Saccharomyces cerevisiae S288C: one gene and its partner. Changing the gene in region 1 together with any one later gene gives a genetic interaction. Each region holds a gene or a part of one and is shown in the gene's direction. Other genes may lie near its edges.

The links.
Region 2: mutations in CDC37 (region 1) and YDL199C together harm fitness more than expected from each alone (negative genetic interaction), as found in Saccharomyces cerevisiae (2 studies listed by BioGRID).

The regions. Positions count from the first base shown.
Region 1 is NC_001136.10:788,328-792,967, forward strand, and holds CDC37 (Hsp90 co-chaperone CDC37), read left to right. Parts: upstream 1-2,000; coding exon 2,001-3,521; downstream 3,522-4,640. Other genes in the region: exocyst subunit SEC5, read right to left, coding at 1-894; TAF10 (Taf10p), read left to right, coding at 1,122-1,742; STB3 (Stb3p), read right to left, coding at 4,021-4,640. UniProt on the Saccharomyces cerevisiae protein: Co-chaperone that binds to numerous kinases and promotes their interaction with the Hsp90 complex, resulting in stabilization and promotion of their activity.
Region 2 is NC_001136.10:100,894-105,013, reverse strand, and holds YDL199C (uncharacterized protein), read left to right. Parts: upstream 1-1,660; coding exon 1,661-3,724; downstream 3,725-4,120. Other genes in the region: ASF2 (Asf2p), read left to right, coding at 1-97; GGC1 (Ggc1p), read left to right, coding at 463-1,365; MGT1 (methylated-DNA--protein-cysteine methyltransferase), read left to right, coding at 3,947-4,120.

The DNA.
Region 1 (4,640 bases):
CAGATCTTTATACGTGACTAATAAATTTTCTATTTGAGTCCAAATTCTTTTTATAACAAGAGATTGTGAAGCATCTGAACTCTGGTTGAAACGGCGACGGAGCGTAAGACCTTTTGAATATTCGATAATGAACTCATTGAAATCGTTGTTAGTCAAACATCTCTTTAAAGATTTGGGTAGGTTGAAGTAAAACTTATTCAATTCAATAAATTTTTTGGTGGCCTGGTAATTCAAAATTTTCTGATAGTTATCCATTAGCGGTTTCAGTTTGAAAGTTGTTGTTCTAATAACCTCGTCGACCTTTTTATTTAAGCTTTCCACATTTATTTGATTTTCTTTTGGTGAATCACATTGGTTTTTTTCATTCGTTTTCTCGTCAAATTCTTTGTAAATTTGGTCTAACTTGTTTTTAATCTTAACATACTTGGTGAAATTTTTACCAACCAATTGTTTCAAATGTATAGATTGGTCTTGTATATCACTGTCCAACCTGTCCAGTGAGTTATTTAGATCATTGAAAGAGTCTTGTTTGTGCATATCTCTCAGAAAGGCTTTGACGTTGAATTGTTTACTGTTGACAAGATAGTTCAACCGCATTGAATCATTTGGTAGATGTTGCAATTCTTTAGACATTTCTTGTCCATTCAAGGGATCTCTAATATAACTTAACGACTCATCGTTTAAATATGCTCTCGATTCCTTGTCAATGCTAATTTGATTGCCATATTTGAAGTCTTTTAATATGTCGAATGACGTTTCAACGCCAAGTTCATTGCTTGTAGCCTCTTCATTATTCAATTTTGAGGAATCTTGGGCCCAGGAATGGGTCGGATTAATAGTCTTCAACTGATAAAAACGAAGTAGTTGCTCGTCGCCAATTTGAAACCTATCCATGGTACCAAACTTTTTTTCGCTACTTTATTTCAACAGAAACTTCTTTCCTAGTTTAGCAGCTTTAACGCAGCTTATTTTTGTTACTTTAGTTGAATAGTAGGAGTTGATACTTTTGTTTTTTCAAGTTGAAAACAGAAACGAAAAATTAAAGAAGCTGCAGATTCAGCATTCATGCCTAAGCTAAAAAGAACTGGCAGCGAAGAACAGAGGAAAGAATAACTGAAACTATGGATTTTGAGGAAGATTACGATGCGGAGTTTGATGATAATCAAGAAGGACAATTAGAAACACCTTTTCCATCGGTTGCGGGAGCCGATGATGGGGACAATGATAATGATGACTCTGTCGCAGAAAACATGAAGAAGAAGCAAAAGAGAGAGGCTGTAGTGGATGATGGGAGTGAAAATGCATTTGGTATACCCGAATTTACAAGAAAAGATAAGACTCTGGAGGAGATTCTAGAGATGATGGACAGTACTCCTCCTATCATTCCCGATGCAGTAATAGACTACTATTTAACCAAAAACGGGTTTAACGTAGCAGATGTACGAGTGAAACGACTTTTAGCACTTGCTACTCAGAAATTTGTTAGTGATATAGCTAAGGATGCCTACGAATATTCCAGGATCAGGTCTTCCGTAGCGGTATCTAATGCTAACAACAGTCAGGCGAGAGCTAGGCAGCTATTGCAAGGACAGCAACAGCCTGGCGTGCAGCAGATTTCACAACAACAACATCAACAGAATGAGAAGACTACAGCAAGCAAAGTTGTTCTGACGGTGAACGATCTCAGTAGCGCTGTTGCTGAATACGGGCTCAATATAGGTCGCCCAGACTTTTATCGTTAGTGGCTAACAAATGGAAATGAAATATGTATATAGTGTAGCAGTATGCAACTCTTTTAAATACACGATTCGTTATTAGATTGATTAGAGCACTTATTCACGCAAATTTGACACGCTTTTTGAACATCCGTTTTTCACGATTTTTTACTGAAGGATCATGAAAGATTGCCACATAAGAGAACACCTCCGTTGCACCAACACTTCATCACGATAAAAAAACTATCGAGCTATCGTACTACGGAACAACTACATAAGTCAAAAATGGCCATTGATTACTCTAAGTGGGATAAAATTGAACTATCAGATGATTCTGATGTCGAGGTGCATCCTAATGTGGACAAGAAATCGTTCATTAAATGGAAACAACAGAGTATCCATGAACAGCGATTCAAAAGGAACCAAGATATCAAAAATTTGGAGACACAAGTGGATATGTATTCTCATTTGAACAAACGAGTGGACAGAATTTTGAGTAATTTACCTGAAAGTTCTCTTACTGATTTGCCAGCCGTTACCAAATTCTTGAATGCAAATTTTGATAAGATGGAGAAAAGTAAAGGGGAAAATGTTGATCCTGAGATTGCAACATACAATGAAATGGTTGAAGATCTTTTTGAACAATTAGCAAAAGATTTAGACAAAGAGGGCAAAGACTCGAAGAGCCCATCTCTCATAAGGGATGCTATTTTGAAACATAGGGCTAAGATCGATTCAGTAACTGTAGAGGCTAAGAAGAAATTAGATGAATTATACAAGGAGAAAAATGCACACATTTCATCTGAAGACATTCATACAGGCTTTGATAGTAGCTTTATGAACAAGCAAAAGGGGGGGGCTAAGCCACTGGAAGCAACTCCTTCAGAAGCTCTTTCGAGCGCTGCAGAGTCTAATATTCTTAATAAACTAGCAAAATCATCAGTTCCGCAAACTTTCATCGATTTTAAAGATGATCCTATGAAACTGGCCAAGGAAACTGAAGAATTCGGTAAAATATCCATTAATGAGTACTCAAAATCTCAGAAATTCTTACTGGAGCACTTACCTATTATTTCAGAACAACAAAAGGACGCCTTAATGATGAAGGCCTTTGAGTATCAGTTACATGGTGACGATAAGATGACTTTGCAAGTCATTCATCAATCCGAATTGATGGCCTACATTAAGGAAATCTACGACATGAAGAAAATTCCATATTTAAATCCAATGGAACTATCAAATGTCATTAATATGTTTTTCGAGAAGGTTATCTTCAACAAGGACAAGCCAATGGGTAAAGAGTCTTTTTTGAGATCAGTTCAAGAAAAATTTTTGCACATTCAAAAACGTTCCAAAATTTTACAACAAGAGGAAATGGATGAATCGAATGCTGAAGGAGTAGAGACGATTCAATTGAAATCTCTAGATGATTCTACAGAATTAGAAGTAAACTTGCCAGACTTCAATTCTAAAGATCCAGAAGAGATGAAAAAGGTTAAAGTTTTCAAAACTTTAATACCGGAAAAAATGCAAGAAGCCATAATGACCAAAAATTTGGATAATATTAATAAAGTCTTTGAAGATATACCAATTGAAGAGGCTGAGAAACTTTTGGAAGTGTTTAATGACATTGACATTATTGGAATAAAAGCGATCTTAGAAAACGAGAAAGACTTTCAAAGTTTGAAAGATCAATACGAACAGGACCATGAAGACGCCACTATGGAGAATCTGTCCTTAAACGACCGTGATGGTGGCGGAGATAACCATGAAGAGGTCAAACATACTGCCGACACTGTTGACTAGAAATTTATGTAGCTATTTTACTGGTGCAGCGTGCATCTACTTCCTTTTTTATTGTTATTTTCATTTATACATAATACAAAAAAAAAAAAGAAGAAAATTAATGATCAATAAAGAAAATCGTGAAATTACAGCAGAGGTTTTGTACCTGCTTTCCTACGTTAGTACATAATATCTTATTTTTTATTAGTGCATGTTTTTCTCAGTGTGTGTTTTTGTAATTTGTATATACTACACAAAGAATCGGAAGGGTAAAATGTGAAAAATACTGGGTCTTTTGAAATATATTGAACGGGCTAATATATGAAATGAATATGAAAAGAAGAAAAAAATGTGACAAGAAAAAAGTGGTGACAAAAAAGACAAAATAATTATTCAGAGATGATAAACTTAAAGCAAAACTTGGTAACAAACTTTCATTAAAACAAAATATGTATTCTTTTTTCATTTTCATTTTTTTTTTACTGTTTTTTTGTTATTTCATGGAACTGGTAAAGAATTCTTAAGATTTTAAGCTCATTAATAAAAACGCAGCACTATTGTCTTCCCCATTTCTTGGCTGCTGTTCATGTTTCTGTTGGTCGTGTTGTAGGGGAGGCTCAATATCTCCATTCTGAGAGTTAGTAAAACTTGGATTTGTAGGTTTAGGGCTAACTACGCCATTAGTAGAACTTGCTACGCTGTCTATGTTAGGTGCTAAACTGTTATTTCTCAGAGAAGCTGCACCAATTGATTCCCAGTCTTCTTCGTCTGTATCTGAGTGAGGTTGATGATGAGAATGGGGAACAAGTTGTGGCGACGATTCCCCATTCAGGTGTTGTGAAGCTACTCTATGTTTCTCCTTGTCCGATAATACTATCGGATTTGAACTTACATTCATCTGTTCTTCTAGCTTAGGGGAGGTGGAAACCGACGTAGCTTTAGAGTTAGGGTTTGTAGTGACGATCAAATAGTTTTTGTTTGGGAAAAGTGTCGATCTAATACTTGATTCTTTCGATACAGACAGACGAGAAGCTCTTCTTGAAGTTGGCTCACTTGTCGCAGTAAGTTTCTCTAAATCTATCTTCGCCTGGTTTGAGTTACTGTTGTTATTTGATGGGGTTGTCGTTGAGGTTGTATTGG
Region 2 (4,120 bases), 690 kb from region 1:
ATTGGTGGCAAATGAACCAGTCACACTAGACACATCAACTCCTCCTGTGGCACAAAGCTTGGCGGATTCAAAGCATTGTTCAGGACTACATAAATAAATATAAATACGAAGCGGTAGAGATCACTACGGCATCCGCCTATCTGCAAAGGAAGCTCTATCGCAAACATACCACCGTTAATCTTCGCTGCCACAGTTTCCTTGTAGACCAATGGCATGTAGCACCGCCGCCACTGCCCGAAAAAAAAAGAAAATGAAAATTAAAGAACGATCGCAATTCTTGATAAAGCTCGAGAAAACAAAAACTCGTGAGTCACTGTGCATTTGCTGTCACATTTTCTACAAAGCGACGACATAGATATATAGAGGTGACTATATAAATCGTGTATCTCTTTTGATGGTTAATATTTAGCCTTTAGACATATATCAAACAAAGCATCTTCCAAAGTATTAGAAAAGGGAAATATGCCTCATACCGATAAGAAACAATCAGGATTAGCTCGTCTTTTGGGGTCCGCCTCTGCAGGCATAATGGAAATTGCCGTCTTCCATCCTGTGGACACCATTTCCAAAAGACTGATGTCCAACCACACCAAAATAACCTCTGGCCAGGAATTGAATCGTGTTATTTTTCGTGATCATTTCAGCGAACCTTTGGGCAAACGTTTGTTTACCTTGTTCCCGGGTCTCGGTTACGCTGCATCATACAAAGTTCTTCAAAGAGTGTATAAATATGGTGGTCAGCCTTTTGCTAACGAGTTTTTGAATAAGCACTACAAAAAGGATTTTGATAATCTTTTCGGTGAAAAGACTGGTAAGGCAATGAGATCCGCCGCTGCTGGATCTTTGATTGGTATTGGTGAAATTGTTCTTTTGCCGCTGGACGTGTTGAAGATTAAGAGACAGACCAATCCCGAATCGTTTAAAGGTAGAGGTTTCATCAAGATTTTGAGAGACGAAGGCCTGTTCAACTTATATAGGGGTTGGGGGTGGACGGCTGCCAGAAATGCTCCCGGTTCATTCGCCCTTTTTGGTGGTAATGCATTCGCCAAGGAGTATATCTTGGGTTTGAAAGATTATTCTCAAGCTACTTGGTCCCAAAACTTCATCTCCTCCATCGTCGGTGCTTGCTCCTCTCTGATCGTTTCTGCTCCATTAGATGTCATCAAGACAAGAATTCAAAATAGGAATTTTGATAATCCTGAAAGCGGGTTGAGAATCGTCAAAAACACTCTGAAAAATGAAGGTGTAACTGCGTTTTTCAAGGGCTTAACACCTAAATTACTAACAACGGGTCCAAAACTGGTTTTCTCATTTGCGTTAGCTCAATCTTTGATACCTAGATTCGATAACCTGTTGAGCAAATGAAGTACATGAACTTCTTGTCTATTTTCCTTGGCATTCAGCTTGTGAATATAAAATGTATAACAATATGAGTTTGTACTTTATGTATTATTTCCTGTTTTTTGACTAACTACTTTTTCCAATGTAATAGCTGTATCACCGTACCGAGGTAAGGACGTCAGCCGCGTAGTTCTAAAAAAATAAAGGATTGCTTTGAAGGGCTTCTGGGCCACTTCAGGACAAAAAGAATGAACATAAAGAAGAGCGCTAAATTTAATACTACAGAGGAACCTGTTACTATCTCAGCTTTTTCAAGAAAATGAAACCTCCGTTAAACATGTCACGTTCAAATAAACCACTTACTCAGGAAGCTAATAGTTCGGCGCATATTGATAGGGCACATCAGCTAGCACAGGATTTTAACAGTAAACAGGATGATACCGCACTAACTTCACTGCCCCACAAGAACCCCGACATATTCAGATTTGAGAACAACATCACAGCTCATAGCTCGCGTCGTGGTTCTCTATATAGAGACAGCGATGCTACTGTGGTTTTGCCGCTTTCTGAACATACCCCTAGATTATCAATGGATGATCCATACCGCCAATTACTACAACAGGCTGAAATCTCACAACTACGAAGTAAGAAAAAAAGGCATTCCAGTCGAGTTTTGCGTACTTCGTTTATATCTTTTGTGGTGCTAGTTTCCTCGCTGTCAGGGTTGGACCAAGGCCTCATATCTGGTAACGTTATGACTTTGTCGTTCCAGAAGTATTTTCATTACCCACTTACTTCTCCGCTGGGCAATATAGTGAGCATTGTTAATCTGGGTGCGTTCATGGCGTCGTTATTTGTCTATTCTGGCATCCTGGAGCCTTGTAGCAGGAAAAAAATGCTCCAAATAAGCACAATGATATACTCTTTGGGTGCCATTGTTCAGGTCTTGGCTCTAAACCAATGGTGTTTACTACTGGGTAGATTCTTACTCGGAGTAGGTATGGGCTTTGCCTTTTCTATGGTAATAATTTATCAATTCGAGTTTCCCCTTCCCTGTATAAGAAAACGGACATTAATTTCCATTCAATGCGTCTCTAGTGTCATTGCGTATTCATTCGGAATATGGATTAATTGTGCTTTCAGATATTTGGGCTTTGCATGGAGATACCCTTTGTCAACACATGTGGCACTTGGAATAATACTAAACCTAATGTCGTTCTATCTTATTTTAGAGTCCCCTTCGTGGCTGTTGAAGCAAAAGAACGACGTAGAGGCATTGGTTTTAATATCGAATGTTTTCGATGATGGAAATTTCGAAGAAAACCAAACTCAGTTGAAATTTAGGGTCCTGAAACGAGACATATTATTAAAGTCACACCTTCAAAAAAACTCCTATCCATATGCGTATATCTTAAAGGATTTTTCTTCAATAATAAAATTGTTGATAGGTTTCCAACTTCTCACACGAACAAATGGAGTGGATGCTTTCTTGTATTACTCACCGTTAATATTACAACAAATGGGGAGAGGAGAAAGAAAATCTATCTATTTAACGGGGCTTAATGCTTTAATTTACAGCATCGTAATATTAGCATATGTTCCCTTGGTGTTACGGAAACGTAAAGAGAAAACGAATGTACTCTTAGGTTCGATTGTGATGTGTGCATTGCTATTTACCATATCTTTTACAGACTGGTTTCCCAAGAGCACAACGAGGTATATATCAATACTATTTGCTGTTTTTCTTTTTACGCACTTCATCAGTTGGGATTCTATAGGATGGGTTATGACCATTGAGCTTCTACCTCACTTGTCACAGGCCCCAGTGATACTACTAGTCTCAAACTTTTATTGGATTTTTAAGTGGTTCGTCAGCTTAATAACCCCTATACTTATTGACCGTCTGTCTTGGAAGTTTTATCTTATTCCATCTTTATCTTCCTTTATTTCCATTATATTTGTGCTGAAGATTTTTCCTATAGAAACCCGTGACGAAAGGTTAGATTCTGATGATGATTCTACCGGAAACGGTAGCGGTAACCATGATGATGTTTTTGACGATACCGGTTCTGAATTCTCCTCCTCACCATCTTTTTCCGCGTATCAGATAAACACTCTAGGAAGTAGTATCAAACAAAATAATCAAGCCTATTCATCTATTCAAAATGAGCAGATTCTACCCAAAAACGGAAACTTATCGAACCAGACACACGGTTCTGCACAAAATGTTTATTTCATTACATCTGATTCAGGACCATCAAGGACTGGAGAATTTTTCAGTTTTCATAACAGAACCGATCCAAATATCAGCGACAACATTGCTGCGAATAAACCCAGTTCAGGTGGAGGCCAGAATTCGCCTGGAGACATGGCAGTTGCCTAGTATGGCCTCATAAAAATATTTGCTTCATCCTAAGTATAAATGTTTAGTTTTATCCTACATACATATTCTTATTATAGTCATTAGAAAAAAGGCACGGCGCTATTGGCCTGGCAGGGCATTTAAAATGCGGTGGAAACAAGGAAGATTAATCAAGTAATGATATAGCATATGCACAAAAAAAAAATTGAAAACGGTCGCATTTTTGATCTAAATGGACCAACGATGAAGGAACTGCTTTACTATACATTCATTGAAACTGAAGTGACTGGTGCATTTTTGGTGTTTAGGGAAAAGACTCAAAACCTTGTTTTTGCCTCGTTAGGTAATGATAAGCTTTTTTTATTGGGAAAGGTGGAAGGCTTCTTGAAGAAACATGAGAAACAGGATACAATGTAC